Callithrix jacchus: one gene and its partners. The protein of the gene in region 1 purifies or fractionates together with the protein of each later gene. This does not show direct contact. Links are inferred from orthologs where the notes say so. Each region holds a gene or a part of one and is shown in the gene's direction. Other genes may lie near its edges. The genes, in order: TULP3, IFT140, SIRT1, WDR35, WDR19 and kelch repeat and BTB domain-containing protein 7.

Region 1 (3,637 bases):
ACCACATTCTCCATGTATTTGAGTTTTAGTTATTTGAATTGCCAAGTTGAATTATTTTTTACTCTCAGAATATTTCTTCCCTTATTTCCTCTTCTCTTTTTCTGCTGCCACTTGATGCAGACTTTACTTCTTATCCAGTGGCCAAAGGTTACAATAATTTAAAGTTGCTATTTTTTTGCTTTTAATCTTGTCCTATCTAGTTTATTCTTTTTTCTCTTTTTAATCTTTTTTTCCCTCTTTTTCCATTTATAGTTCACTTGTTTTTAAATTTTATCTTATTATTTGTTTTATTTTACTTTTTTATTTCACACCCAGGAAAGACCTGAGAACTATCTAGCTCATTCTCTACTGCTACCAAATGAATCTTCCTAAAACAAGGCTCCAGATGAGCCTCCTGTTCTGCTTCACATCTTTTAGTGAGTACCCACTGTGTCAGAGCTAATATGGTAGCCTTTGCTTTTCAGACTCCTAGTGGCTCCCTCCCCTTCCCATCACACTAGCCAAGCAGTCCTCCTGTCAGTCCTTTGTCCAACCACTCATCTTTCCTCCCTGGAGAGCCTTCCCTTTTCCCCTTTCTTGCCTTTTGCCTTATCAAAGTCTTTTCTGATGTACTCCACTAGATGTGGTTGACAATCCTTTGTCTGTGTCCTGGTGGCATTTGTAACCCACATGTGCTTTTATTATTTGTTGAAAATGAACCATCTCCACCAGTTGTAAACTCCTGTGACCTTTTACTCACTGCTATATCCACACTGGCACATGGCCTGGCACACAGTAGGTATTCAAAGAGTTGTTGAGTAAGAGAAAGTAAGAAGGAACTGACCCATCTCAGCTGGATTTTTTTATTCAAGTCTCAACTTTCTTAAATTGAAAATAATCACATCATTTGACTCTTGGGAGGTTTTATCTACATGCCTGAGAACCATTTGACTTCACACTTTGATGTAAAGTACCTTTCCTCTATAGCTCTCATATATAATCTGCTTGGCTTTGCTGGGTGCAGTGGCTCCCACCTGTAATCCCAGCACTTTGGGAGGCCGAGGCAGGCAGATTGCTTGAGCCCACTAGAGACCAGCCTAGGGAATATGGTGAAACCCCGTCTCTACTAAAAATACAAAAATTAGCCAGACATCGTGGCAGGCTCCTGGAGTCCCAGCTACTAGGGGCGCTGAGGCAAGAGGATCACCTGAGTCTTGGGATGGTCAAGACTGCAGTGAGCTGTGATCGCGCTGTGCATTCTAGCCTGGGCGACAGCATGAGATCTTGTTTAAAAAATAATAATCTGCTTGGTGGCCTGGCTTGGGATTCATGCCTGTAATCCCAGCACTTTGGGAGGCCAGGGAAGGCGGATCACCTGAAGTCAGGAGTTTGAGACCAGCCCGGCCAACATGGCAAAATCCCGTCTCTACTAAAAATACAAAAAAATTAGCCGGGCATGGTGGCTGTTTTTGAGTCTCTGTTTACAGCAAAGTAATAAAATTATTTTTGGTACACTTGTTTGTTTTGAGACAAAGTCTCACTCCTGTCACCCAGGTTGGAGTGCAGTGGCATGATCTCGGCTCACTGTAGCCTCTGCCTCCTGGGTTCAAGTAATTCTCCTGCCTCAGCCTCCCAAGTAGCTGGTGCCTGCCCCTGTGCGTTCTAATTTTTGTATTTTTAGTGTAGATGGGTTTTTACCATGTTGGATAGGCTGGTCTCGAACTCCTGACCTCAGGTGATCCACCCACTTCAGCCTCCCAAAGTGCTGGAATTACAGGTGTGAGCCATTACACCTGGCCAGTACACCTGATATTGTTAGCATCTTACGTTCTGAAGAAAGTCTCATGTTATAAAAGAATGTGGTCTCTATTTTTTTCCTGTTCCCAAGTTCTGCCTTATTTTCCTGTCTTCCAGGAAACGAACGTGCTTGGATTTAAAGGTCCTAGGAAAATGTCTGTGATCATTCCTGGAATGACACTGAATCATAAGCAGATCCCATATCAGCCACGAAACGTGAGTAAGAACATACTTAAATCAGCAAAGGACTCTAAAAGACAGTAATACAATACAGAGAGATTAAAAAAAAAAAAATGAGCTTCCAGAGCCCCACACTGGAGCATGGCCCCATACACTTCTTTAGGAGAGCTGCCCCTCGAGAACCTCAGGATAAGTGCAGTTGCAAAGTCGTTGCCTTGAAACTGTTTTGTCTACAAAGAGAAATGCTGGATAATATAGAATAATAATAAAAAAAAAACCTGTTCATTTTTGGCTTTCATTCTTTGCTTCTGGTTTACTCTTTCTGAAATGGAGAAAGTATTCTCCTGCTCCACCTTCTACCTCAGAGAGTTGAGAATGAATGAGTTCTTAGAGTTCCCAGTACAAAATAATGATTTTCCCTTTGGACAGAACCATGACAGTTTGCTATCAAGGTGGCAGAACAAAGCTATGGAAAATCTGATTGAACTGCACAACAAGGCCCCCGTCTGGAACAGTGACACTCAGTCCTATGTCCTCAACTTTCGTGGCCGGGTCACTCAGGCATCTGTGAAGAACTTCCAGATAGTCCACAAAAATGACCGTAAGCCTCCAGGAGGGGTTGGGCAGGAAGCGGAGGATAGATGCTCTTACAGGATGGGGAAATGTACATTCCCTGTATGTGACAGGAAGTGATAGGAGATATTCATGGAGGAGAGACAGGGTTTTTGGAAAGATGAAACTACAGTTGTAGAGAAAACTTATAAGTCACTGTGCTGAGGAGGGGAGAGGAGTATGAGAGATATGCTACAGCACATCAGAAAAGTCAGCTGGCACCATGGCTCATGGCTGTAATCCCAGCACTTTGGGAGGCCAAGTTGGGCAGATGCTTGAGCCCAGGAGTTCGAGACCAGCCTGGGCAATGTGGTGTGAAACCCCTGTCTCTACAAAAAATATTTAAAAATTAGCTGGGCACGGTGGCAGGCACCTGTTATCTCAGCTACTGTGGGAGCATCGCTTGTGCCAGGAGGTCAAGGCTGCAGTGAGCCTTGGTCATGCCACTGCACTCCAGCCTGGGTAACAGAGCAAAACCCTAAGAAAAGGAAGAAAAAAAGTTTTCCCCTAGTGCAACCACATTATTTTCTAACATCCTGATTTCTTTCTGTTTCTAGCTGACTATATAGTTATGCAGTTCGGACGTGTGGCAGATGATGTCTTCACACTGGACTACAGCTACCCACTTTGCGCAGTACAGGCCTTTGCCGTCGGGCTTTCTAGCTTTGACAGTAAGCTGGCATGTGAATGAGAGAACAATCAAGCTGGGGGCTGGGCTTTCTCCCCACAGGGCTTGCAGGAGCAGACGTGGCCTCCCCTTCCCTCCCCTTCCCTTGCCCCAGGACATGAAGAGCAATAATAGTTTGCCCCTTTTGGAATGATCCCTGAGTATATAAAACACACACACACTCTCTTACTCCTTTTCCAGGTTTCATAGACTTGGTGAGGGATCACAGCTTAGCACAGGGAGGTTCTTGTCACATTGGGGTGTCCTGAAGTGAGAGTGGGATTTCCTGTGCTTAGAAACTCGCCGTAGAACCAGGGACTGACATCGCAGTTCCTCTCCTCTCTTCATTCCCTCACAGCCGATTGGCCGGCACCAATCTTCGTCACAGTGGCTGTGATCACA
Region 2 (4,939 bases), on another chromosome or scaffold:
GGAAGATGCTTTGCTTTGAAAATGTCCTTAAGTTGATAGAAATGGCTTCTTGTGAGGGTCGTGGAAACGGATAAACAAGGGCCTCCTTATGTAGTGACCCTACCTTTGCCCCCAGGGACGGTGCACTATGTGGATGAGAATGGCAAGACCACTCAGGTGGTATCTGCAGACAGCGCAATCCACACACTGTTTTACGTGGAGAAGAGGGAGGCGCTGGTGGTGGTCACGGAGAACCTCCGGCTGTCCCTGTACATGGTGCCTCCTGAGGGCGAGGCAAAAGAAGTGATGAAGGTGAGTGGGAGCAGGCTCGGGGGCTCAGGCCTCGGGGACAGCCCTTTCTCTTGTGGATAGCCAGCCTGAAAAGCCTATCATCTGTGTTAGGGCGGCCATCATAGCCAGCCGTGTCATTACTGATCACACCACATTCAGCTCATAGGTGAAGGAAGCAAAAGAGATGGAGATTTTCCTGCATCTTTAGGTGGATGTGGGGCCTGATGGGAGACAGCCTGGGCCCACCCGCAAGCTGCACCCTTAATGACCTGGGGTGCAAGTAAGAGAAACACGCTCACTGCACAGCCCCTCATTCCACCTGCAGAACCCAGTGGGTAGGCAACCGGATCCCCAGCTTCCAGCTGGTTTATTCCACAGAAATCCATGTTCCTTGGAGGCCACTAAACTTTCCCCAAAGATGCACTTGCAGATGACAGAGCGGACTTTTCCTCAGTCAGCATTCATTCGGTCCCTTACGTATTCCATAAGGGCAGCTGAGGACACAGGCACTAGTCCCAGGGACCTGGTCATAGGGGCCACCTCAGGCCACCATAACAATCTACCACAGACTACATGACATGACAGCAGACATTTGTCACAGTTCTGGAGGCTGATGTCCCACGTCAGGCAGGCAGCAGGGGCCTCCTCTCATTGTCCTCACAGGGCGGGGAGGGAGAGTAGGCACCAGCCCTGGTGTCTCCTTCCATGGCCACAGCCTCCTCAGGCCAGGACTCACCCTCCCCATGACCTCATTAACCTTAGGTACCTCCTGAAGGGAAATACAGTCACACTGGGGGTTAGGGCTCCCACATAGGAGTTTGGGAGATGCAGTTCAGTCCATGGACCTCTGCTCAGCTCCTCACTGGCTGGTGGGCCCTAGCCAGGCCTGTTCTTTGAGGAACAGGGATGGCAGGCCTGCCCAGATTGTGTGGTTGGACTCAACAGGGAGCACCCAGCTCAACTTAGTGACCCTCCAGAGCACGTCCAGCGATGGCCACTCGCCCGCACCATGCCCTTGGTAGCCATTATTCAATGTGCGAGGGTAGTGGTTTGCTTCAGCCTACACGTCTCCAAAGCCAAGGCCGCCTCTCAGAGTCTCCATCATTCGTCCCTGCGTTTTCCCTGCTTGTTGAGTCTCCATGAAGTAACTGAGCACCAGAGACTCCGGGTCCTGAAGCCGGGACAGGCAGTCTCAGCAAGCACAGTGCCCCTGCCTCCTTGTTTCCTTACACAGGTCAAGCTGAGCGGGAAGACCGGCCACCAGGCAGACATCACTTTGATTGATGGCAGCCTTCTCGTGATGGCCGTCGGGGAGACTGCCCTCAGGTGAGAGTCTGTCTTTCCAGTGCCCCTCAATGAGAATTCCCTACGGAACAGGCTCGTCTAAGGCAGCTTTATGTCGGAATGTAACAGCATATGGACTGTAAAATGCATATATAATGATGACCGCTCACACACTGGACATACCCATTCACCAGCTCCCAGACTGAGGAGCTGAGCGTTAGAGACCCCAGGAATCCCTGCCTGCCCTGCTGCGCTGCCTCTGGGCTCCCCCTACCCCCGGGGGCGCTGCCTAGGTGTCTGCCCCTGGAATCTGTTTTCTTGGTTTTTCGGAGCGTGGCGTAACTAGAGTGAGTCGTGCTGGTCTCTCCTGCTTGCTACATTAGCGCAGTGTGCTACCCGGGTGCTGTCTCATGCTCTGCATGGGGCTGGAGTGCTGTGTTCTTATGGTGACCTCATGCCATACACAAACCATCTTCTATCAGAAGCTGCTTTCTTTGATTATAAACAGGATGTAAAATGCCCTAAATGTAACATCGGTGTTCATTTTCATATCAGGAGTCTTGCGACTTGCTTTCTTTTCCCTTGTAGATTCTGGGATATAGAACGAGGAGAGAATTACATACTGAGTCCAGACGAGAAGTTTGGCTTTGAGAAAGGAGAGAATATAAACTGTGTTTGTTACTGCGAAGTCAAAGGTGAGGCTTCCTGGCCTGGCACGAGAGAAACAGAACCAGCCACAAGTCTTGTGCTCGGGCAGCAAAATAACGGTCGTGAGATTTGGAGGCTACTCCAACAATGGCAACTTGATAGCTTGCAGTCGATCAAATAGTCGGCCAAGGACAAGCAAGCTACAGCAGAGCTCTGTGATCCCACCTACAGGCCAAGGGGTTTGGTCAGAAGAATGACAACCTGGCATCCCAGCACTTCGGGATGCTGAGGAGGGAGGATCCCAGCACTTTTGGAGGCTTGAGTCCAGGAGTTTGAGACCAGCCTGAGCTACGTAGTGAGACTCTGTCTCCACAAAAAATACAAAAATTAGCCAGATGTGATGATGTACAGTTGTGGTCCCATCTACTCAGGAGGCTGAGGTGGGAGGATTGCTTGAACCTGGGAGGTTGAGGCTGCAGTTAGCTGAGATGGTGCCAGTGCACTCCAGCCTGGGTGACAGCGCATGACCCTGTCTAAAAAGAAGCATGACAAACCTATTCCATGCTCATTGATCTCTGTTCGCTCCTGAAATGCCACAGGAAAGACAGTTCAGGAAGTGTGTGTGCACATGTGTGTATGTATGCATATGCACATCCAGAGCACAGGAGCCCAGGAGGTGAGCCGGAGCTGCGTTCTTCCAGTGCCTGCTGAGTGCTGAGCACAGGGCAGCCCTGAGCCAGGTCTTATGGCCTCTGGGAAAGCTGGGAGAGCAGCATCCCCACCACCCCAGCACCAGTACTTTGAGGCCAGGGTGGGAAGGACCTGGGCAGGGCAGAAAGGCACAGCCAGGGACGAGGCGGAAAGGCAGCAGACTGGGCGAGGGCTGATGCTTTGAAGAAGGGGTCAGAGAAGAGAGCTTATTGATGTTGTTTTTCCTTTCCAATTCTGTTCACATGCGGTTTGTTTCTACCTGTAGGTCTTCTGGCCGCTGGCACTGACAGAGGACGAGTAGCCATGTGGAGAAAAGTACCAGGCCTCCTGGGCAGCCCTGGGGCAGAGGGCAGGGACAGGTGGGCCCTTCAGACCCCTACTGAGCTCCAAGGAAACATCACGCAAATCCAGGTACAGCCTGCAAGGGTGTTCAGTGCATTCACTTTCTGCTGCATGCAAGTGGAGGCCATAACTGACTTTGAACCTTTTTTTATTATTCAACTTAAGATTCTGTGCAGATAACAATAATAAGACATTTTAAAAGAGATTTAGGATTTCAGAATTGCAGTGAAGAGATTGTGGACCTGTATTAGTTAATACTGGTCTACCTACCAGCCCGTCCCTCCATCTCCGTCTCTCTCTATATATATATTAAAAAGGCTTTACAGAGATAGAACTCATAATATATACCACGTGGTTTTTGGTATATCCACAGAGTTTTACAAACATCACCGCAGCAAATTTTACAATAGTTTCATCGCCACAAAAAAATCTGTGCCTTTTAGGGGTCACCCATATTTCCCCCTCTCCAGTCCTTGGCAGCCACTAAAGTACCTCCTGCCTCTAAGGATTTGCCCGGTCTGGATGTTTCATGGAAACTGAATCACACAACACATGGACTTTGTGTCCATCTTTTAAGTCTAAATCCCTCCAGATGGCAGCCTGTGTCAGCGCTTCACTCTGCTGTGCACAGACCACGGTTAGTTTCTCCATGCATCCGTTGATGGACATTTGAATAATGCTGTTATGATCACTTGGATACAAGTTTTTGTGTGCGGATGTTTTCATCTCTTCAGCATTTGGTTCTTTCTTAGGGTTTCTCTCTGTTCCTGCTGGGACACTGGCATCGTACCCTCCTCTGCTTCGCCAGGCACGGTTTCCTTTGGTTCTTTCGGCAGATGCGTAGTGGCCACTTTGAAGTCTCTGCTGAGCCCCACGTCTGGGCCCTTTCATAGCAGTCTCTGGTGTCTGGGTTTTCCTGTATATAGTTCATGCTTTCCTATTTGCATGGCTTTTCATTTACTTTGATAGATTTGGAAGTTTCATGTAAAATTATGAAACTGACATTTCACATCAGCGAGCAAAGGCTGGATGGTTTAATCCATTGTATGAATTTCCTGTCCCTATGTCACACTCGGAAAACCTCTAGAAGATGTTCTTCCCATCAGAACAGATTTATAAGTGCTGCCCGTCCAGTCACAACTCCTGAGCATCAGTGTTTTGAAGTCTTTCTACAGAGCACACAGTAGAGCTTTATAAAGCATTTATTGAAATCATTTTCAAGTCTGAAACAATGGTGCCTGGAGAATGGTCTGGGCTCTCGTGTGTGGAAGCATTCCCCTGCTGCATCTTTCTCTTGCTCTGTTCTCACATTTGGTTCTTTCTCTTGCAACCTGGAAATGAAGTGGGGCTCCAGGAAGAACCTGCTGGCGGTGAACAGCGTCATCTCCGTAGCCATCCTCAGCGAGCAGGCCATGTCATCACACTTCCACCAGCAGGTGGCTGCCGTGCAGGTCTCCCCGAGCCTGCTGAATGTGTGCTTCCTGTCCACGGGGGCAGCACACAGCCTGCGCACCGACATGCACGTCAGCGGGGTGTTTGCCACCAAGGTGACTGCCAAGCGGACCCGGGGTTGGAGGAGGGGTCTTCAACACAGACAGAACAACTGCCCCATCGTCAGGTAGTTCAGGCCAGCAAGGGCCCCAGACGGCAGGTTAGGCACCCTCAGTTCCATCCTTAACGAGCT
Region 3 (4,939 bases), on another chromosome or scaffold:
TTATGGGTCTTCATACATATTAGGTGCACATTGTTTTGGTAGTCTTGGCTGACTTTTGGTTTGTTTTGCAGATAACCTTCTGTTCGGTGATGAAATTATCACTAATGGTTTTCATTCCTGTGAAAGTGATGAGGAGGATAGAGCCTCACATGCAAGCTCTAGTGACTGGACTCCAAGGCCACGGATAGGTATGGCTCAGAGCTGTTAACTTAAGAGAGTAAATGTATGCTTTTTGTTGTTGTCCTTGTTGGTTTTTTTGAGACAGTCTCACTCTGTCGCCCAGGCTGGATGGAGTGCAGTGGTGCAATCTGCAACCTCCACTTCCTGGGTTCAAGCAATTCTCCCGCCTCAGCCTTCTGAGTAGCTGGGCTTACAGGCACCCACCCCCATGCCTGGCTAATTTTTGAGTTTTTTTTTTTTTTTTTAGTGGAGACAGGGTTTCACCATGTTGGTCAGGCTGGTCTCAAACTCCTGAATTTGTGATCCGCCCGCCTTGGCCTCCCAAAGTGCTGGGATTACAGGCATGAGCCCTTGTGCCCGGCCTTTTTTTTTTCTTCATCCAGTTAGACTGTCTTTCTCACTTACTTCATATTTCTTGTTTTTTTCACTTTTATACTTATCACTTCTCAACAAGTGCTATATCTTACATTGTATTGTTTCCTGGTCTAGAATATGTAAGTTTCACAGGAGCAGGAATTTTTTTTTTTGTTGGGGGGGGAGGGGTCACGAAGTTTTGCTCTTCTTGCCCAGGCTGTAGTGCAAGGGCGCGATCTCAGCTCACCGCAGTCTTCGCCTCCCTAGTAGCTGAAATTATAGGCATGCGCCACCACGCCCGACTAATTTTGTATTTTTAGTAGAGACGGGTTTCTCCACGTTGGTGAGCCTGGTCTCGAGCTCCCAACCTCAGGTGATGCGCCTGCGAAGCCTCCCAAAATGCTGGGATTACAGGTGTGAGTCACTGCATCTGGCCAGGGATCAGGTATTTTCGACTGACTTGTATACTGTTGTTTTGTCAGTGCCTAAAATGTGCCTGGCACATAGTTTGTGCTCAACAAATATTTAATAAACGTGAGTAAATATTTAATAAATATGTGAATGAAATGGGAAAATATTTTGTAATAGAAAGCATTTTTAGATTTTTATACCAAAGGTAATAACATAATCATCTTGAAAGTGGATCATCTTTTTTCTTTTCTTTCTTTTTTTTTTTGAGATGGAGTCTTTGTCTCTGGAATGCGGTGGCCAACCTTGGCTTACTACAACCTCTACCTTCTGGATTCAAGTGATTCTTATGCCTCAGCCTCCTGAGTAGCTAGGATTATAGGAGCATGCCACCATGCCCAGCTAATTTTTATATTTTTAATAGAGACAGTTTTGCCATGTTGGCCAGGCTGGTCTCGAACTCCTGACCTGAAGTGATCTGCCCCTCTCGGTCTCCCAAAGTGTTGGGATTACAGGTGTGAGCCACCTCTCCCAGCTGAAAGTGAATCTTTACAAATGGTTTGATTATTTAAACAGTAAAGATTAGTTTCTCTTTGGTGTCTGTAGTTTTATTTAAATATATATATATTTTTAATCAACTAGGGAGCTGATTTCAGCAATTTCAGGGTAAAAGAAAATGATTAGGCTGGGTATGGTGGCTCACGCCTGTAATCCCAGCACTTTGGGAGACTGAGGCGGGCAGATCACCAGGTCACGAGATCAAGACCATCTGGCTAACACAGTGAAACCCAGTCTCTACTAAAAGTACAAAAAAAAAATAGCCAAGCTTGATGGCACGTGCCTCTAAACCCAGCTTCTCAGGAGGCTGAGGTAGGAGAATCGATTGAACCTGGGAGTCGGGAGGTTGTGGTAAGCCGAGATCGAGCCATTGCACTCCAGCCTGGGTAGCAAGAGCGAAACTCTTGTCTCCAAAAAAAAAAAAGGAAAAGAAAATGATTAATTCTCAGAACAACAACATCGTATGTATTATCTTGCAAGATTAGTTAAGGTCAAATTGAAAAATTACCGGAAAAATAATTAAGCTGGCAGTTATGTATAGGTTTTCATTTCTTTTTCCTGTGTGGTTTTAATGGTAAGTAGTATAGGCTTTTAGGTCTGGTACGATCTTTTCTGTGTTGACTTGTAGCAGCTTTTTGTAAATACTTTTGTGTTATTGTGGTGTATGTTTCTAGATTTTAACCATAAGAACTTAATTTTGGTTGTTAGGTTCTTAAAGTATGTATTTAGAGCTCAAGGGGGTCTCCCAACTCTGATTAGATCTTCCTAGTCTCATTGGGATATAGCATTAATTATGAGTGTGTACTAAGAATGAAAGACCATTAAATTACATTTTCTTTGCAAAAAATTCTCACAGATTGCTAACTCATTACCTCAGAAAATAAATGAGATTGTGAATTATTTGACAAGTTGACTTGATCTAAGTCTTTTCCCTCTTATTGTAGGTCCATATACTTTTGTTCAGCAGCATCTTATGATTGGCACAGATCCTCGAACAATTCTTAAAGATTTATTGCCGGAAACAATTCCTCCACCTGAATTGGATGACATGACACTATGGCAGATTGTTATTAACATCCTTTCAGAACCACCAAAAAGGAAAAAAAGAAAAGATATTAATACAATTGAAGATGCTGTGAAATTACTACAAGAGTGCAAAAAAATTATAGTTTTAACTGGAGCTGGGGTATGTAAGACTAGTAAATGGGGGAAGTGGTAAATGTATTTTCTTATGCCTTTTCCAAGTAGGAAACATTTTTCTGGTTTAGGAGGATTTATCCTTACATGATAATGGATGTTTGGAAACTGCCAAAAACTGAGTGTAGCAGCAGTTGCTAAATTAGTTCAGATTTTTTAAACCTCTCCAACAGCCTTTAAAAAAATTTGCTTCTGCTTATTTATAGCACAGTGGGTAAATGGAATTAAAGCAAGATTTTTACCTACATTATATCACAGCTCGTAAAGGAGATGCAGGGAATTGAAACTCTGCTTTTATTAAGGTATGTCAGAGTCTGAAGGAGAAATTGAATATTTGTTTGATTTTTATGAGAAACTGGAAATCTAGTTGGTATTCACAAGTGAAGAACTTAATGTTGGGAAGATAAGAGATTCCTACCTTCCCTCCATTTTAAATTAAGATGATAGGATTGTGGCGGCTTGACATTTTCTATTTCATCTACCTTAGGGTCTCAGCTAATTTGTTACCTAAGGCTATTGCACAGTGTGTATTTCATACAGGATATATTGCATGTTAGCAACCAGAGCAACTGCTGTAGTAAAATTTTGTCCTGTTTTCTGCCATTTCAAATTGTGAAAAGGTGTTACATAATCTTAAATGATCATCAGGAGTATGTTTTGCTGACAGATAATGATGTAGACAAGTTTGTTTAACTTACCTTAAATTGACCTTGACTCCAGGTCAAATTGGAGTCTACTCTGGTAAGATGATGAAACAATAACTTCTGAAATCTCTATTTGAAATGTCAGGATTTTTTGTATGATTAGTATATAAATCTGTTCTTAAAGAAATGAAGAATTGAAATATTATACAGCCTTTTAAAAACTTTTCTGAGGCAGGGTCTTGCTCTGTTGCCCTGGCTGGAGTGCAGGGGTGCCATCATGGCTCACTGCAGCCTCAACCTGTACTGGCTTATACAGTGGTGTTTTTTTGTTTTGTTTTGAAACAGAGTTTTGCCCTATTATGCTCCTATAATCCCAGCTTCCGGCTATTTTTTTGTCTATTTTTTTGAGACGGAGTTTCGCTCATGTTACCCAGGCTGGAGTGCAATGGCGTGATCTTGGCTCACCGCAACCTCTGCCTCCTGGGTTCAGGCAATTCTCCTGCATCAGCCTCCTGAGTAGCTGGGATTACAGGCACACGCCACCATGCCCAGCTAATTTTTTGTATTTTTTAGTAGAGACAGAGTTTCACCATGTTGACCAGGATGGTCTCAAATCTCTTGACCTCGTGATCCACCCACCTCGGCCTCCTAATGTACTGGGATTACAGACTTGAGCCACCGCGCCTGGCCCTTTTTTGTATTTTTAGTAGAGACGGGGTTTCATCATGTTGGCCAGGTTGGTCGCGATTTCCTGACCTCAGGTGATCCACCTGCCTTGGCCTCCCAAAGTGCTGGGATTACAGGCATGAGCCACTGTGCCTGGCTATTTTTTATGAAAATAGAGAAATGTAGTAGTAGTGCGGTGATAGAACCCTAACTATAGGAACGATTTCTTTGGAATTAATTGTCTGTAATAGAAATTCTTGGCTAGTGCAGTGGCTCATAAATATAATTCCAGCACTTTGAGAGGCAAAAGTGGGAGGAACACTTGAGCCCGGAGTTTGAGACCACCCTGAGCAAGAGACCCCCCGTCTCTACAAAAAATTAGCCTGGTATGCTCATGTGTACCTGTAGTTCCAGCTACTCAGGAGGGTGACGTGGGAGGATTGCTTGAGCCTGAAAGGTTGAGGCTGCAGTGAGCCATGATGGTACCGCTGCCCTCCAGCCTGGGCGTCAGAGTGAAACTGTCTCAAAAAATAAAAATAAAAATTCTTCCCTACTTAAAATAATTTGTTGATGGTTTACTCCCTTTTCAGGTTGCATTTGCATTAATTTGTTGGTTAAACGCTTAAAAGGTTTAAAATTAGCCTGAGAAAAATTTCTTATCTGTGTTAAAGGTGGAATATGAGGTATGTTTAATCATACTCAGTTATTTGGGAGTTTTATTTCTATTTGAAATTAGGGTAGGGTTGTATTTTTGTTTCTTAAAAGGAGTTTCAGACTAAAATTTTCTTTCTCAACTCTTATCTAGTTATATGGTAAGAGAGCTAGTTTTTATAAAGGTAGAAGATTTAATTTTACAAATTATGCCATGTACATTTTAGGTGTCTGTTTCATGTGGAATACCTGACTTCAGGTCAAGGGATGGTATTTATGCT
Region 4 (4,939 bases), on another chromosome or scaffold:
TAATCTTTCTAAGCTTCAGTTTCTCTTTGCGTAAAGAGAGGATAATAGTATTTTCATCATGTAGTTCTTTTAATGATTGAGAAGTTCACAAAAAGAAAACTCACTTATTACGCTGCCCGCTGCCTGGACTTCGTGAGCTCTCAATAAGTGGTAGCTGCGATGATGATATGAATAGAGTATTTTTATATCGTCATATCAGTCTTTTACTTTATATTTTTCTTTCAGGAGCCATGCTTAGGAATTCCTTTAAGTTTGTTAAATATTGTTTATTATAACAGTTAAGTTATCCTGAAACCATGTATCGAGCTTATTCTTTCTTAACAGATTTGAAATTCTACCTTCATGAAACTAAATTTATACATATTCTTAATCTCTTCCTATTTTCTATTCATGTATTTCTGTGCCACTACTGGCTTCTTTACTTTTACATTTTAATATCTGGTATTTAAATGCACCTTCATTATTCCTTTTTAAAAAATATTTTTTGAATGTTGTCTTGTATTTGTTCATTTAGATCAACTTTACAGTCTTTTTTTAGGGTTGGAGAGGTTTTAATGAAGTCCTATTGGATTGGATTAGAATTGCATTAATATTAATATTGGACTTATTTTTTATTTCTTTTTCTTTTTCTTTTTTTTTTTTTTGAGAATGAGTCTTGCTCTGTCGCCCAGGCTGGAGTGCAATGGTGCAATCTTGGCTCACTGCAACCTCCGCCTCCTGAGTTCAAGCAATTCTCCTGCCTCAGCCTCCCGAGTAGCTGGGATTACAGGCACGCGCCACCGTGCCCAGCTAATTTTTTGTATTTTTAGTAGAGATGGGGTTTCACCATGTTGACCAGGATGGTCTTGATCTCTTGACCTCGTGATCCACCTGCCTCAGCCTCCGAAAGTGCTGGGATTACAGGCATGAACCATTGCATCTGGCCTATTGAACTTGTTTCTGTGTTTATAAGTTTTCTCATTCAGAAGCATCATTGAAAATTTTTTGTTTTTTATGGATACATAATTGTACATATTTATGGGGTACAGGTGATATTTTCCTACATATAATGTGTAATGCTCATATCAGGGTAAATAGGATATCTGCCATCTCTATCACCTCAAACATTTATGATTGCTTTGGGAACATTATAAATCTTCTCTTCTAGCTGGTTAGAAATATACAGTAAATTCATGTTAAATATAGTTAGCCTACTGTGCTACTGAACCCTAGAGCTTATTTCTATATCCATTAAGCAACCTCTCATCATCACCCGTACCCATCCCAGCCTCTGGTATCATCAGTCTATTCTACTTTCATGAGGTCAACCTTTTTAGATCCCACATATGAGTGAGAACATGTGATATTTGTCAGAAACATCCATTTTAAAAATCACTTGTGGCCGGGCATGGTGGCTCACGCCTGGAATCCCAGCACTTTGGGAGGCCAAGGTGGGTGGATCACGAGGTCAAGAGACCGAGACCATCCTGGTCAACATGGTGAAACCCCGTCTCTACTAAAAATACAAAAAATTAGCTGGGCATGGTGGCACGTGCCTGTAATCCCAGCTACTCAGGAGGCTGAGGCAGGAGAATTGCCTGAACCCAGGAGGCGGAGGTTGCGGTGAGCCGAGATCACGCCATTGCACTCCAGCCTGGGTAACCAGTGAAACTCCATCTCAAAAAAAAAAAAAAAATCCCTTGTGTATCTGTGTTTCTGAAGATTTGTAGCTTTCTTCTTGCAGGCTCTAAATGTTTATTTTTCAGTTTATTTCTAATTTTGTTGTCATTAACAATGAGGTTGAGGTTGTAAAGTTTTTTTCCTAATTGGTTATTAGTTATATATAAAATTATTTTTTATTTTAATGTTTATTTTATAACTTGTAACTGCTATCTGACATAAATTATACACTATTTAAAATAGTTGTATTATATACAATTTGTATACCATTTCTAGACTTAAAAGAACAATTAGATCTTTAACTTGAGATGCTTCACCTACTGGTGAAGATCTCTATTTGCCCCCCCCCTTTATTTTCTCAGTGGTAAAATGATCTGAAACAATGTACCCCCTGTAAATTATTAACCTTGAACCTATTGTCTTTTGGGTGTGAAATTAGAGGATATTGTTTATTGTAACTGAATGGTTACATTTTATATACATTTCTTCTACTAAACTTTGTTGTAAATACTTGACCCCAGACCAGTTTATAGGATTCTGATTGTAAAACACAAGAATATGTTGTTTTAAGCTTGTTTATGAAATTTTTGATATACTATAACAAAGTATTTTAAAGATTTTAAGGTCTAGAGAAGAAAAAGATTCAAATTGGTTACAAATCTAATATTAAGTCTATAGTGCATTTTAAAAAAAGATTGTATTTCCAGTATAATTGCAAAGAAGATGTTGTAACTTGAATTATCCAAACTGACAACTTGGAGACTAATTTTCACTTTTTCTCAAAATCCCTGTGTTTCTGTGGGACAAACAACAAAGCAATAATACGAAAGCAATATAATCTGTCCAAAGAAACACAAAGAAAAAAACATACGATTTTATACTGTTTTGCTTTTTTTTATTAACAAAAGGAAACATGGTATTATCTTACAGTTTATGACTGACATAGTATAATACTTGCTTTTTCTGAAGTGCCATAGAACTTTCTAACATAATCGAAGAAAAGGTGGGTGTTTTGACACCAAAATTGTTCGTGTGTGTGTGTGTGTGTGTGTGTGTATTTCTGAGTTGGCACAGGCATGTGCAGCATTTGGTGGTGGCTCTTTTCACAGGCTGCTGAGCTGTTAGCCAGCTTCACAGAACCTTGGATATCATGTAGCCTAGTTCCTCCTCCTAGTGCTCCCATCTCTCAGCACTGTTTGCTTTCAGTCTGTTAGTTCATGCAAGTTCAATGAAAACACCTTAACTGAGATTCTTCCTTATGCATATTCATAATTATTTTAAATAACCCAAATTGCCCTCTTTTTCTTAGCTTTTCACCTGAAAGACTATGAAGACATCATCCCTGCTGTGGAGATCTACTCTCTGCTAGCACTCTGCGCATGCGCCAGCAGAGCCTTCGGGACTTGCTCAAAAGCTTTCTTAAAACTTACTTCTTTAGAGACTCTCAGTTCAGAACAGAAACAGCAGTATGAAGACCTCGCTTTAGAAATCTTCACCAAGTATACTTCAACAGACAACAGAAAATCTGAATTGTACGACAGCCTTATGGAAGGGTAGGCTAATTTTAATTAGTGGATGTCATTCTGCCTTATTAGAAGCTTGGATTTCTAGATGTACAATGTTTAATGTAGGACTTAAGCACTAAATTTTGAAGCAACTTACATTAACATTATACCCTCCTTTATTCTTACAGCTGTATTTATACTTTATTGTTTCATCGTAAGAAAGTGTTTTTCTTGAGAACAGTTTTTGAAATGACAGTAATTGACATTAATCTTGAATTGTTTTATTCGTTATTTTTTAAAGTATATTAAATACATTGTTAGATTAATTAGAAGTTTTAAAGTGTAATGAATTGATTCTTGTCTTATTTTACAGTGGAGAAGGGAAACTGCCAACATGCGTTGCCACGGGAAGCCCGATCACTGAGGATCAGTTCTGGATGTGTGGTGTATGCAAGCACTGTGTCCTTGCTCAGGCAATAAGCCACTATAGCTTCTGCCCCTTATGCCACAGTCCAGTGGGATAAAGGAATGATGACCTGTATATCACTGTAAAATATATGTAGCAAACATACATAGCAAGAACTGTCTATGTAATAAGGTTTATTTCTATGAGTTTTGTATCAAAATCAGCCTCATTATTTATAGTTGAATTTTTGCACAAAATATGTTAATATAATTTTTTTTACAGAAATACAACTGTGAAATAAGGCTGATTTTCATATAAAATGTATGAAAATCAACCATATTTTCTCTCTCTTTTTCTTGTATTTGATTACATGATACCATGGGAATATTCCAAATAAATATTTTTTCTCACAGTGTCAAGATAACTTAATTCATTGAAAAATCTTAAAGGGAGTGAGAAATGGGGGAAGCATGGGAATGGGAAAAAGTTGAATTTAGAGAATTTTTATAACACATATGACTAGGAAGTTAATTGTAATAGTGAAATGAGCTCTCTCTGTAGCTGTATTTAATGAAATAAGCATCGAATGTCTTCTTTGTTATATTTTCAGAAGTGAGGTGATGGCATTTGAAGAATTTTCTTTACAGTTTGAATTGCTTCTAGTAGCCCTATTCTTCTATTTTAAAATCTGTCCTAAAAATCTCATTCAAGAGATGGCATTTGGAATTTACACTTTCATACTATTGTGCAGAAAACTTTGCTCTATTTATAATGAAAATAAACAAAAGTATCAATTTTGTAGTTATAGCTTCTGTTGAAACATTGTTACTAAGCTGGACCCTTCGTTTATACAAATATTGCTGAGGGAGTGATTCTTTCTTGATATGCATCTGTTTTCTTTCTCTTTCTTTCTTTCTTTCTTTCTTTCTTTCTTTCTTTCTTTCTTTCTTTCTTCTTTCTTATCTTTCTTTTCTTTTCTTTTTTCTTTCTTCTTGAGATGGAGTTTCGCTCTTGTTACCCAGGCTGGAATGCAATGGCGCGATCTCGGCTCACCGCAACCTCCGCCTCCTGAGTTCAAGCAGTTCTCCTGCCTCAGCCTCCCAAGTAGCTGGGACTACAGGCACGCGCCACCATGCCCAGCTAATTTTTTGTATTTTTAGTAGAGATGGGGTTTCACCATGTTGACCAGGATGGTCTTGATCTCTTGACCTCATGATCCACCCGCTTTGGCCTCCCAAAGTGCTGGGATTACAGGCATGAGCCATCGTGCCTGGCTCATTATTAATTTAAAAGATAAACAGTTGTGATCTGGAATGGATCATTTTTTATGTCTTTTATATAGCCAATAATGTTCTCTGTTTATTTGTGA
Region 5 (4,939 bases), on another chromosome or scaffold:
TGAGAAAATATTTTTAAACCACATGTCCAACAAAGGACTAGTATCTAGAATATGTAAAGGACTCTCAAGACCCAACCGTATGTCATATGCTTGACATCTGTATATGTTATCAACCCAACCTGATACTATTGTTGTTTAAATATCATTTATCTATTTACATATTAATTTATTTATGCAACACAAAAATAATAAATTTATCCATATAGTTGCCATTAAGCAAAAACCCAAAAGTAATAAAAGCAAATAACCCTATTAGAAAATAGGCAAAAGACATGGATTTCACCAAATAGTAACAAATACATGAAAAGATGTTCAACATGATAAGCCATTAGGGAAATGCAAACTAAAACCACAATTACCTATTACTACCCCTCTGATAGAATGGCTAAAATGAAAAATAGTGATAACACCAAATGTGGGTAAGGATGAGGAACAACTGGATTACTCATACGTTGCTGGTGGGAATGCATCATGGTACAGCTACTCTGGAAAACAGTTTGGCAGTTTCTTAAAAAACTAAACATGCAGTTACCATATGATCCAGCAGTTACACTTCTGGCCATTTATTCCAGGGAAATGAGCACCCGCATTCAGATAAAATCCTGTATGTGAATGTTTATAGCAACTTTATTTGTAATAGCCAAAAACTGGAAACAATCTAGATGTCCTTCAGTGGATGAATGGTTCATCCGTGCCGTAGAACACTGCTCAGCAATAAAAAGGAACAACCTATTGATGTACCCAGCAACTTGAATTTCCAAAGGATTGCACTGAATGGAAAAAAAAAAAAACTCAACAGGTGGCATACTGTATGATTTCATTTATATAATGTTCTTGAAATGATAGAATTATAGAAACAAAGAACAGATTAGTGATTGCCAGAGGTTAGAGATGGAGCTGGAGTCAGAAGGAAGGAGGTGAGTGTTTATAAAAAAGCAACATAAGAGATCTTTGTGGTCATGGAACTATCTATCCTGGCTGTGGTTGTGAATCTCATGAATGTCATGTGAGAAAGTTACTAAACACACACACCGAGTACAAGTAAAACCAGGGACATCGGAATAAGATTTGTGGTTTGTATCAATGTCAGTATCCTAATTGTGATATTATACTATGGTTTTTCAAGATGTTACTATTGGGAGAAAGGGGGACCTGAAATCTCTGTATTGCCTCTACAACCACATGTGAATCTAAAAAACTTAAAAGTTCAATTCAATGAAAATAATGAGGGAAAAAATAAGAGGAAAACACTAGAAGGGAAGAGAAGGGAGAAAAGGAGATTAGAAGGAAAGAAATGTTACAACTATTAGGTTCCAACATTGTGCTACACAGCTTTCATTTGCATCCACTTATTCCTATTAGGCCCACATTTTTCAGAGCTTTCAACTTGATCCTTCTGATCCAAATGTAATGCTCTTTCTATACTATAATTCATTTCCTTTTGTATGAAAGAACTCTGGTCAGGGGAGAAGGGGAGCGCATTGTAAAGAGAAGCCTGTATCGTCTTATAATAATTAATACTACTCAGGAAAATATTTTTGTACTCAGATTTCTTCAGGACAATTTTAAGCTCCTTATTTCTGAAGCTATAGATCAGAGATTAAGCCAGGTACAACCTTACCCCCACATCTCTTCACGCAGCAAACAAACAACAACAACAAAACCCAGAAAAATTTAAAGATAAAATATAATGAAGTACAGAAATTCTAATATTTTCTTACCATAAACCAGTAGATCATTCTGTACATCACATTTTGGAGACCAGGTACCTATTCCATGGTTTATAATTTTTTGTGGACTAAAACAGTTTTATATAAAATTATTTTTTAATCTATTTTTGTTTTTCAGCATTAAAATCCAAGACTTGGTTGACTTAAAAGACATGTATGCTATACTCAGCCTGGATGAGGAAAATAAAGGTATTGCTTTTTCTGAAGTAGATTGACATTTTATTCCAGTTACAGAGAGTAAGGCTGTGTTTGTTATTGTGTGATTTGCATTCCTTATAGGAGGAATAAATTTTATGACTCTTCACTAGAGTTTCCTAAAATAGTCTCCTTATTTTACTAATTATGTTGTCATTCTGCTTTACTAGAAAGATATGTCTGCTTTGATCCAGAGATTTATAGTGAATTTTATCCTAATTCTAATGTAAAGTATAAATTCTTACATACAGTCATGCCCCACATAATGTTGTTTCAGTCAGCAGTGGTCCATATTTACCTCCCTTTCTCCCTTCCTTCCTTCCTTTCTTTCCTTCGATAGAGTCTTGTTTGTTGCTCAGGCTTACAATATTATATCTAAACATTGTCTGTGTTTAGATATATTTCAGTGTGCAAATACTTACCACTGTGTTACAGTTGCCTACAGTATTCAGTACAGTACATGCCATACAAGCTTATAGCGTAGGAGCAATAATAGGCTATGCCATACAGCCTAGGTATGTAGTACTCTATTTTGTCTAGGTTTGTGTAACTACACTCTGTGATGTTCACACAACAACAGAATCACCTAATCATAGATTTCTTAGAACATATCCCTGTTGTTAAGTGACATGTAACTGTACTTTCCCTTTGAGCCACAGTGAATGAGCCAATGCTCATATTCTTATGCCAATCCATGGCAAATTTCCTAGTCTAAATAAAAATACTTAAACTGGTAAGGTAAATATTTTAAAATTTTGATGCCTCTGGTAGTTTAAATGAAAATATTTGTTTGCTGCCTACAACTGTATATTGTTTTTGAATAATCATTTATGTTGTCGATTATTTCAGGATTGGGTACCTTGTCCTGGACAGATGATGGCCAGTTACTAGCACTCTCTACCCAAAGGGGGTCACTTCATGTTTTCCTGACCAAGCTTCCTATACTGGGGGATGCCTGCAGCACAAGGATTGCATATCTCACCTCCCTTCTTGAGGTCACCGTAGCCAACCCTGTTGAAGGAGTATGAAAATTGTGTTATTTTTCTTTAACTAATAAAATTAAATTAAGTTTAGCAGTTGATTTACTACGATTTTCTATATTTTAGGAGCTACCAATCACAGTTTCTGTTGATGTGGAACCCAACTTTGTAGCAGTAGGTCTTTATCATCTGGCTGTAGGCATGAATAATCGAGCTTGGTTTTATGTCCTTGGAGAGAATGGCAAGTCTAAATCTAGTTGTTTATTCTTATCTAGCATATAATTTCTGTTCTTATTTGGGAAGTACTGGAAGTTTCTTTTAAGACCAAGTCTTTCACTCTTTTTTATTCACATATTTCATTCTCAGCTTAAATGGTTTTGTAAGTCTTCTAAAAATTTGCATTATTTTTAGAAAGTTTTTATTCTTTACCTTTGCAGTGAAGGTAGCATAGCATAGTGGGTAGAGTATGAGTTTCAGAATTAGAGAGGCCCTGGATTTAATTTCCCCTTCCGCCTCTGTTAGCTAAGTGACTATAGACACATCCTTTACACTTGTGAGCCTTACTCATCTGGAAAATGAGGATACTTCTACTTTTAATGGATCATGAGGAAGATTAAATGAAATAAAATGTGTGATCTCACTTGGCACAGTGACTTTTTTAAGCACGCCTAAACCTAGTGGGTATTTAATAAATGCTCTGTCTCCCATTTTATTCTTTTTTTTTTTTTTTGAGACGGAGTTTCACTCTTGTTACCCAGGCTGGAGTGCAATGGCTCACTGCAACCTCCGCCTCCTGGGTTCAAGCAATTCTCCTGCCTCAGCCTCCTGAGTAGCTGGGATTACAGGCACGCGCCACCATGCCCAGCTAATTTTTTGTATTTTTAATAGAGACGGGGTTTCACCATGTTGACCAGGATGGTCTCGATCTCTTGACCTCGTGACCCACCCGCCTCAGCCTCCCCCCTTGTATTCTTTGAATGATAGCTATTAGCATGTGAGGGAAACCTTGTTTTATTTTTCTTCCCCTGCCTCCTCCCCATCACCTTTACCCAATTCTAGGTCAGATAACCCTCAGGAATAGAACAAACCTGAAAATTAACCTGTTAAACAGGAAATACTATTAAGATTCTTGCCACTTAAGGTTTAATTGTTTTGCATGTGATTTTATTTTCTATTACTTTGTTTCATGTAAACCATATGGAATGTCCGAAGGCAAATTTCTATGGCAACTCAGATTAAAATCAAATTTTAAGTTCAGAATATTTTTGCAAAAGCACACATTTGCAAGTGTGTATGAGATAGTTTTACCAATATTTTAATATGTTGTTTTTAAAAAATTGCTACAGCTGTGAAAAAATTGAAAGATATGGAGTATTTGGGAACAGTAGCCAGTATTAGCCTTCATTCTGACTATGCTGCTGCACTTTCTGAAGGCAAAGTCCAGTTACATTTGGTAAGTATAATTTTGAGACCTGCTAAGTGAAATTATGATGAACAGCCTAATATCTGATTATCATGAATATTGATCAGGAAGCAAAGATACACAGACTAACTAGAAAGCCAGGTATGAGTAAGGAATTAACAAAACCCTTCCCTTTCTATATGAGAAGTTCAGTTGACTTTCTAACCCTGTTCCCCAAAAACCTGATAAATATCAACAGTGCTACTCACAACATAGTCTTTTAGTAAATAATAATAATAATTGCCCTGTTGGTAAATTGCAGCTAGAAGGAACTATAAGTGAACTGTAAGAACATGATGGGATCTGCAGTGTAATAAAAAAATGGGAATGCCATACCTTTGGGCTTCCTGGGAGATGCTGACTCATATTTGGGCGTTTTGCACATGGGGGTCTTTGAAATTATGCCTGCTGAGTTGTTCAAGAGATGTTGGCACCTGTGAAGAGGGGGCTTCTAAATCAGGGCGTCTCTCACATCTGTTTCATGGCTCTTTACATCTGGGAAGACAAAGAGATTAGCAGTTAGATAGCTGCAGAGCCTGCAGTCAAGACCATTCACACTGAGAGGGACACCT
Region 6 (5,710 bases), on another chromosome or scaffold:
CTAACATCTCTTTTTATTTACAGAGGAGATATTGGAGCCCAGAGGCTGACTTAATGTGTCTACCCTAGAATATTTCCAGCGGATACTCTTCAGCCAAGAGAAGAACAATTTGAAGTTATTCTCTTGTGATGTGTTATCCACACATGCATTGTAATACGGATGATTTTATTTATTTGGTTATGGTAACATAACAAACCAGCACCAGGAGCGGTCACTGTTTTTTAAATAAAAGTGATCTTTAAAAGTCTATCTGTTGCCAGTGCAGGGTGCCCAAGTTCTTGGCATTTTGAACAAAGAATTGGACAAAACTCATAAACAAAGCAAGGATAGAATGAAACAACAAAAGCAAAGATTTGTTGAAAATGAAAGTACACTCCATTGGGGCTCAAGGGCCCTGTTACAGCATTTCTAGAGGTTTAAAGACCCTCCGGAGGATTCCACTGGTTACTTGTTGTATGCCCTATGTAAATGAAGAGAATGAGGTAAAGTTACAGCCATTTGCTCGGCATACACCCTGTGGAGAGGATACTTCCTGTTAGAGCTGAGGTGTGCATCGGCCTATGTTCCCGGCCTCCAGGCCCTATTTTCCTGCCTCAAATCTCTAATACTTGGTTTTGATGATTTAGCTGTTGATCAACGCATATATTAAATAGTTTTGTAAAGCATAGACTATACTGTGTATTAATTCAAGGAACGTCAGGGCATGTATGAATGCTGAAGTCTGAGAATCATGTGCTTTTGTACAGAACAAAGTCTGTTGAAATGTTTTGAGTTAAAATTCTCCCTAAAACTTCTCTACGAAAGCAATTGCAGAGTCTGTTAACTGATTTGTAGAATGGCAGTGAAAGAGGCTGTATTTGGCCGGGCGCGGTGGCTCACGCCTGTAATCCCAGCACTTTGGGAGGCCGAGGTGGGTGGATCACGAGGTCAAGATATTGAGACCATCCTGGTCAACATGGTGAAACCCCGTCTCTACTAAAGATACAAAAACTTAGGCCGGCATGGTGGTGCATGCCTGTAATCCCAGCTACTCAGGAGGCTGAGGCAGGAGAATTGCCTGAACCCAGGAGGCGGAGGTTGCGGTGAGCCGAGATCGTGCCATTGCACTCCAGCCTGGGTAACAAGAGCTAAACTCCATCTCAAAAAAAAAAAGAAAGAGGCTGTATTATTCAATTTGAACACACTTACATTTGCAGCTTAATGAAAATACTCTTGCTCTGCAGAGATGAAATGTTAGTGAGAGCAGCAAATCATCTATTTGTATATGCTCAATTTGCATATTTGAGGCCATCTATTAATACTGCTCTTTAGGACCTCAACCTAACCATCTAAGACATTCTTGTTAAATGAGACCAATATACATCATTTAATATTGAAAATATTAATACTCTTCAGAACCTCTCAAAAAATAAAAATTAAAAATTGGAAGCTTTGTAACGTTTTGCAGTTTTAAAAAAAATACTTGGTTTCAAATTAGCGGGTGCCTCATTTATCATAAATTATAAAAGAGAATCTAACAATTATTGATTACATTCTAGGCACGGGGTAGTGATTTATTAATTATTCTTCTAATAAAAAAATACACATATTTAAGCATCCTATGTAACATATCATTCAACCCCACAAAACCCTGTAAAATATTGGCAGGGCGCAGTGGCTCACGCCTGTAATCCCAGCACTTTGAGAGGCCGAAGGAGGAGGATCATTTGAGCCCCCAGTAGTTCGAGACCAGCCTGGCAACAATAGTGAGACCTCGTTCTTCACCATCAAATCCCGGAGTATTAATTTCTACTTCTGTTAGAGCAGGCAACGAAAGGAAAGCTCGCGATATTTCACAAACTACTACTCCCAACATGCAAAGCGGTTTCCTTCCTCGGTCTTGGCCCGGCTGTCCGAGAGCCCCAGCAGGCCTCGGGGCGCGAAAGGCAACCCGGGAACCGTAGTTCTCCAGGGCGCCTAGCGGGATCGCCAGCGCGGCAGTGGGGCTTCCGCGGCTCCCAGCCAGCGGGTCCTGTGAACGCGAGCAGAGGCGGAGAAAGGGCGCGGAAGTGAGAGAGGGTGAGTCAGCCACTGTCTACGCGATAAAGGGAGGCCTCACCGCGGGGTAGGCAGAATTCAGGAGTCAGGTCCGTGCCGCAGTCTGTTCCAGGAAGCGGCTTGTGTTAGCGTCAGCGAGGGAAGGGTGAGGAGGAGCCAGAGCCGGGTCCTGCAGCCGTTCTCGCCTTCAGCGCCCGTCGCCATCTCCATCATGCAGTCCCGGGAGGACGCCCCGCGCTCTCGCCGCCTCGCCAGTCCCCGCGGTGGGAGGCGGCCCAAGAGGATTTCCAAGCCCTCGGTTTCGGCCTTTTTCACGGGCCCAGAGGAATTAAAGGACACGGCCCATTCTGCAGCCCTCCTGGCCCAGCTCAAGTCCTTCTACGACGCGCGGCTGCTGTGCGATGTGACCATCGAGGTGGTAACGCCCGGCAGCGGGCCCGGCACGGGTCGCCTCTTTTCCTGCAACCGCAACGTGCTGGCAGCTGCGTGTCCCTACTTCAAGAGCATGTTCACAGGTGGCATGTACGAGAGCCAGCAGGCCAGCGTGACCATGCACGACGTGGACGCCGAGTCCTTCGAGGTGCTGGTGGACTATTGCTACACGGGTCGTGTGTCGCTCAGTGAGGCCAACGTGCAGCGCCTGTACGCGGCCTCGGACATGCTGCAGCTGGAGTACGTGCGGGAAGCCTGTGCCTCCTTCTTAGCCCGACGCCTGGACCTGACCAACTGCACCGCCATCCTCAAGTTTGCAGACGCCTTTGACCATCACAAGCTGAGGTCTCAGGCCCAGTCCTATATAGCTCACAACTTCAAGCAGCTCAGCCGAATGGGTTCGATTCGGGAGGAGACTCTAGCAGATCTGACCCTGGCCCAGCTGCTGGCTGTTCTGCGCCTGGATAGTCTGGACGTGGAGAGTGAGCGGACAGTGTGCCACGTAGCAGTGCAGTGGCTGGAGGCTGCTCCTAAAGAGCGGGGTCCCAGTGCTGCAGAAGTCTTCAAGTGCGTGCGCTGGACGCACTTCACTGAGGAAGATCAGGACTACTTAGAAGGGCTGCTGAGCAAGTCCTTAGTGAGGAAGTACTGCCTGGGCGTTGTTGAAGGGGCCCTGCAGATGCGCTATGGCGACCTGCTGTACAAGTCTCTGGTGCCAGTGCCAAACAGCAGCAGCAGCAGCGGCAGCAGCGGCAGCAGCAGCAGCAGCAGTGGCAGCAGCAGCAGCAACAGCAGCAACAACAACTCTGTTGTACCTGCAGCAGAAAATCCACCTCAGAGGCTGGGTATGTGTGCCAAGGAGATGGTGATCTTCTTTGGACACCCCAGAGATCCGTTTCTCTGCTATGACCCTTACTCGGGGGACATTTACACAATGCCGTCACCTTTAACCAGCTTTGCTCACACTAAGACTATCACCTCCTCAGCTGTCTGTGTCTCCCCAGATCATGACATCTACCTAGCTGCCCAGCCCAGGAAAGACCTCTGGGTGTATAAACCAGCTCAGAATAGTTGGCAGCAACTTGCAGATCGCTTGCTGTGTCGCGAGGGCATGGATGTGGCATACCTCAATGGCTACATCTACATTTTGGGGGGACGAGACCCTATTACTGGAGTTAAATTGAAGGAAGTGGAATGCTACAGTGTTCAGAGAAACCAGTGGGCATTGGTGGCTCCTGTCCCTCATTCCTTCTATTCTTTTGAACTCATAGTGGTTCAGAACTATCTTTATGCTGTCAACAGTAAGCGCATGCTCTGCTATGATCCTAGCCACAATATGTGGCTAAACTGTGCTTCTCTTAAACGCAGTGACTTTCAGGAAGCGTGTGTCTTCAATGATGAAATCTATTGTATCTGTGACATCCCAGTCATGAAGGTCTACAACCCAGCTAGGGGAGAATGGAGGCGGATTAGTAATATTCCTTTGGATTCAGAAACTCACAACTACCAGATTGTCAATCATGAGCAAAAGTTGCTGCTCATCACTTCTACAACCCCACAATGGAAAAAGAACCGAGTGACAGTGTATGAGTATGATACTAGGGAAGATCAGTGGATTAATATAGGTACCATGTTAGGCCTTTTGCAGTTTGACTCTGGCTTTATTTGCCTTTGTGCTCGAGTTTATCCTTCCTGCCTCGAACCTGGTCAGAGTTTCATTACTGAGGAAGATGATGCACGGAGTGAGTCTAGTACTGAATGGGACTTAGATGGATTCAGTGAACTGGACTCTGAGTCAGGAAGTTCAAGTTCTTTTTCAGATGATGAAGTCTGGGTGCAGGTAGCACCTCAGCGAAATGCACAGGATCAGCAGGGCTCTTTGTAAATAGTATTTTGAGACACTAAGATGTTTCTACTGCTATGGAATGTATGTTAAAAAGATATCCTCTCTTTTTCTTGGGAAAAAAAGGTTGATTACGACCACAGATTTGGTTTAGAAAGGGTAACATTTTGAAATACTACAGGGTTTAAACAGTCCCTGAAACCAACCCGTTTAATAATTTACTGTGCTGAAAGTCCAAAATTAAAATATGCAAACAAGAACTATATAATTGGTTGGGATGCTTGGTAGGCTTTTTCCTGGTTCAGGTATTCATCCCACAGTGGACTGTTTTGATTAGTGGGCTTATTTTTTTTTTAATTCAGTCTTCTGTTAATTTTTAAGTTTTCTTTAGTGCCACAAAGAATTTATCTTTTAAATCTGTATAATAGAAAACTGGACTAGGGATTGTTGATGGCGTTTTGAAGGATGAGTACTTTCAAAATAATGAAAGTGGTAGATTTTCAAAATCTTAAACTAGTCAGTTCTTTATATTCTAAGTTAAATATAGTTTGTAAAATTATTTTGGTTTTCTTCTACAAAGGAAAAAAATTGGATATATGTATGTTAAGGTTACTGAATAGTGATTTCATTTTGATAATGTGCAGAATGGCCTCACAAGCACACAGAAAGTAAAAAAAAAGGATTCCACACCCTTCTAAACCAAACCAAAACAAAACACAAGGTAACTTGCTTTTTACATTTGTATTTTTAATCCATGCCCATTACACGCTTTATTGAGTCAGAGGAACAATTCCTGAACATATAATTGGGTAATGTAAATTTTTATCCATTGGTCATGGCTTGTCTTAAAATGTTTATTTGCCTCCGTAAAATATTTTGGCTGTATAGGTTTGGTGTTTGTCCTAAAGGATTCTTCAACAAAAAGTGATTTATTCATTACTGTTTTCGTGAGATAATATGGTTTAGAACATACGTATAAGCTAAAAACAGTATTTTACACAGATCAGTAGTTATTGTGTCTATCAGCTATAAAACAAGTGCCAGCAAAGAACTTTAAAACTTTAAGCTGTGTATTATAGAACTGTTTTGTGTAGCATTGGAATATTGTCCATTTTGTAAGTCACTGTAAATGTTCTTAATTATCAGCTTGAAAGTATTTTTGTATGAAAAGTTGACACTGAACAACCTAAGTGGATGATGGCATTTGGGGCCAGTAGTGAAAGTATGTTTCCTCTAAAATATTTCCCTAAACAGTGGTATACATAGTTTTTTTATTGAGATTTGTATATGTTCTGTGTTTCTCTGTGAACATGTTTCAGTCTCTGTCACCATATGTAAGGGAAAGTCCATAAATATAGACTAAATTGCACAAAACTGACATTGTTAATTACAGGAAAT

What was found.
Region 2: the proteins of TULP3 (region 1) and IFT140 purify together in Homo sapiens (affinity purification with mass spectrometry; 5 studies listed by BioGRID and IntAct, counting the BioPlex papers as one, with this or other methods). This does not show direct contact. The link is inferred for Callithrix jacchus from reciprocal best matches to the Homo sapiens genes TULP3 and IFT140.
Region 3: the proteins of TULP3 (region 1) and SIRT1 purify together in Homo sapiens (affinity purification with mass spectrometry; 5 studies listed by BioGRID and IntAct, counting the BioPlex papers as one, with this or other methods). This does not show direct contact. The link is inferred for Callithrix jacchus from reciprocal best matches to the Homo sapiens genes TULP3 and SIRT1.
Region 4: the proteins of TULP3 (region 1) and WDR35 purify together in Homo sapiens (affinity purification with mass spectrometry; 5 studies listed by BioGRID and IntAct, counting the BioPlex papers as one, with this or other methods). This does not show direct contact. The link is inferred for Callithrix jacchus from reciprocal best matches to the Homo sapiens genes TULP3 and WDR35.
Region 5: the proteins of TULP3 (region 1) and WDR19 purify together in Homo sapiens (affinity purification with mass spectrometry; 5 studies listed by BioGRID and IntAct, counting the BioPlex papers as one, with this or other methods). This does not show direct contact. The link is inferred for Callithrix jacchus from reciprocal best matches to the Homo sapiens genes TULP3 and WDR19.
Region 6: the proteins of TULP3 (region 1) and kelch repeat and BTB domain-containing protein 7 purify together in Homo sapiens (affinity purification with mass spectrometry; 3 studies listed by BioGRID and IntAct, counting the BioPlex papers as one, with this or other methods). This does not show direct contact. The link is inferred for Callithrix jacchus from reciprocal best matches to the Homo sapiens genes TULP3 and KBTBD7.

Annotation. Positions count from the first base shown.
Region 1 is NC_133510.1:16,258,151-16,261,787, forward strand, and holds part of TULP3 (tubby-related protein 3), read left to right. Parts: intron 1-1,893; coding exon 1,894-1,992; intron 1,993-2,385; coding exon 2,386-2,557; intron 2,558-3,125; coding exon 3,126-3,259; 3' UTR 3,260-3,637. UniProt on the Homo sapiens protein: Negative regulator of the Shh signaling transduction pathway: recruited to primary cilia via association with the IFT complex A (IFT-A) and is required for recruitment of G protein-coupled receptor GPR161 to cilia, a promoter of PKA-dependent basal repression machinery in Shh signaling.
Region 2 is NC_133513.1:3,840,083-3,845,021, reverse strand, and holds part of IFT140 (intraflagellar transport protein 140 homolog), read left to right. Parts: intron 1-115; coding exon 116-291; intron 292-1,504; coding exon 1,505-1,596; intron 1,597-2,142; coding exon 2,143-2,249; intron 2,250-3,178; coding exon 3,179-3,324; intron 3,325-4,598; coding exon 4,599-4,802; intron 4,803-4,939. UniProt on the Homo sapiens protein: Component of the IFT complex A (IFT-A), a complex required for retrograde ciliary transport and entry into cilia of G protein-coupled receptors (GPCRs).
Region 3 is NC_133513.1:62,524,419-62,529,357, reverse strand, and holds part of SIRT1 (NAD-dependent protein deacetylase sirtuin-1), read left to right. Parts: intron 1-71; coding exon 72-188; intron 189-2,444; coding exon 2,445-2,686; intron 2,687-4,884; exon of another isoform or gene 4,885-4,885; coding exon 4,886-4,939. UniProt on the Homo sapiens protein: NAD-dependent protein deacetylase that links transcriptional regulation directly to intracellular energetics and participates in the coordination of several separated cellular functions such as cell cycle, response to DNA damage, metabolism, apoptosis and autophagy.
Region 4 is NC_133515.1:95,301,014-95,305,952, forward strand, and holds the end of WDR35 (WD repeat-containing protein 35), read left to right. Parts: intron 1-2,968; coding exon 2,969-3,212; intron 3,213-3,537; coding exon 3,538-3,688; 3' UTR 3,689-4,375; downstream 4,376-4,939. UniProt on the Homo sapiens protein: As a component of the IFT complex A (IFT-A), a complex required for retrograde ciliary transport and entry into cilia of G protein-coupled receptors (GPCRs), it is involved in ciliogenesis and ciliary protein trafficking.
Region 5 is NC_133504.1:154,588,378-154,593,316, reverse strand, and holds part of WDR19 (WD repeat-containing protein 19), read left to right. Parts: intron 1-1,848; coding exon 1,849-1,919; intron 1,920-2,774; coding exon 2,775-2,947; intron 2,948-3,031; coding exon 3,032-3,146; intron 3,147-4,251; coding exon 4,252-4,358; intron 4,359-4,939. UniProt on the Homo sapiens protein: As component of the IFT complex A (IFT-A), a complex required for retrograde ciliary transport and entry into cilia of G protein-coupled receptors (GPCRs), it is involved in cilia function and/or assembly.
Region 6 is NC_133506.1:160,345,470-160,351,179, reverse strand, and holds the start of kelch repeat and BTB domain-containing protein 7, read left to right. Parts: upstream 1-1,949; 5' UTR 1,950-2,248; coding exon 2,249-4,354; 3' UTR 4,355-5,710. UniProt on the Homo sapiens protein: As part of the CUL3(KBTBD6/7) E3 ubiquitin ligase complex functions as a substrate adapter for the RAC1 guanine exchange factor (GEF) TIAM1, mediating its 'Lys-48' ubiquitination and proteasomal degradation.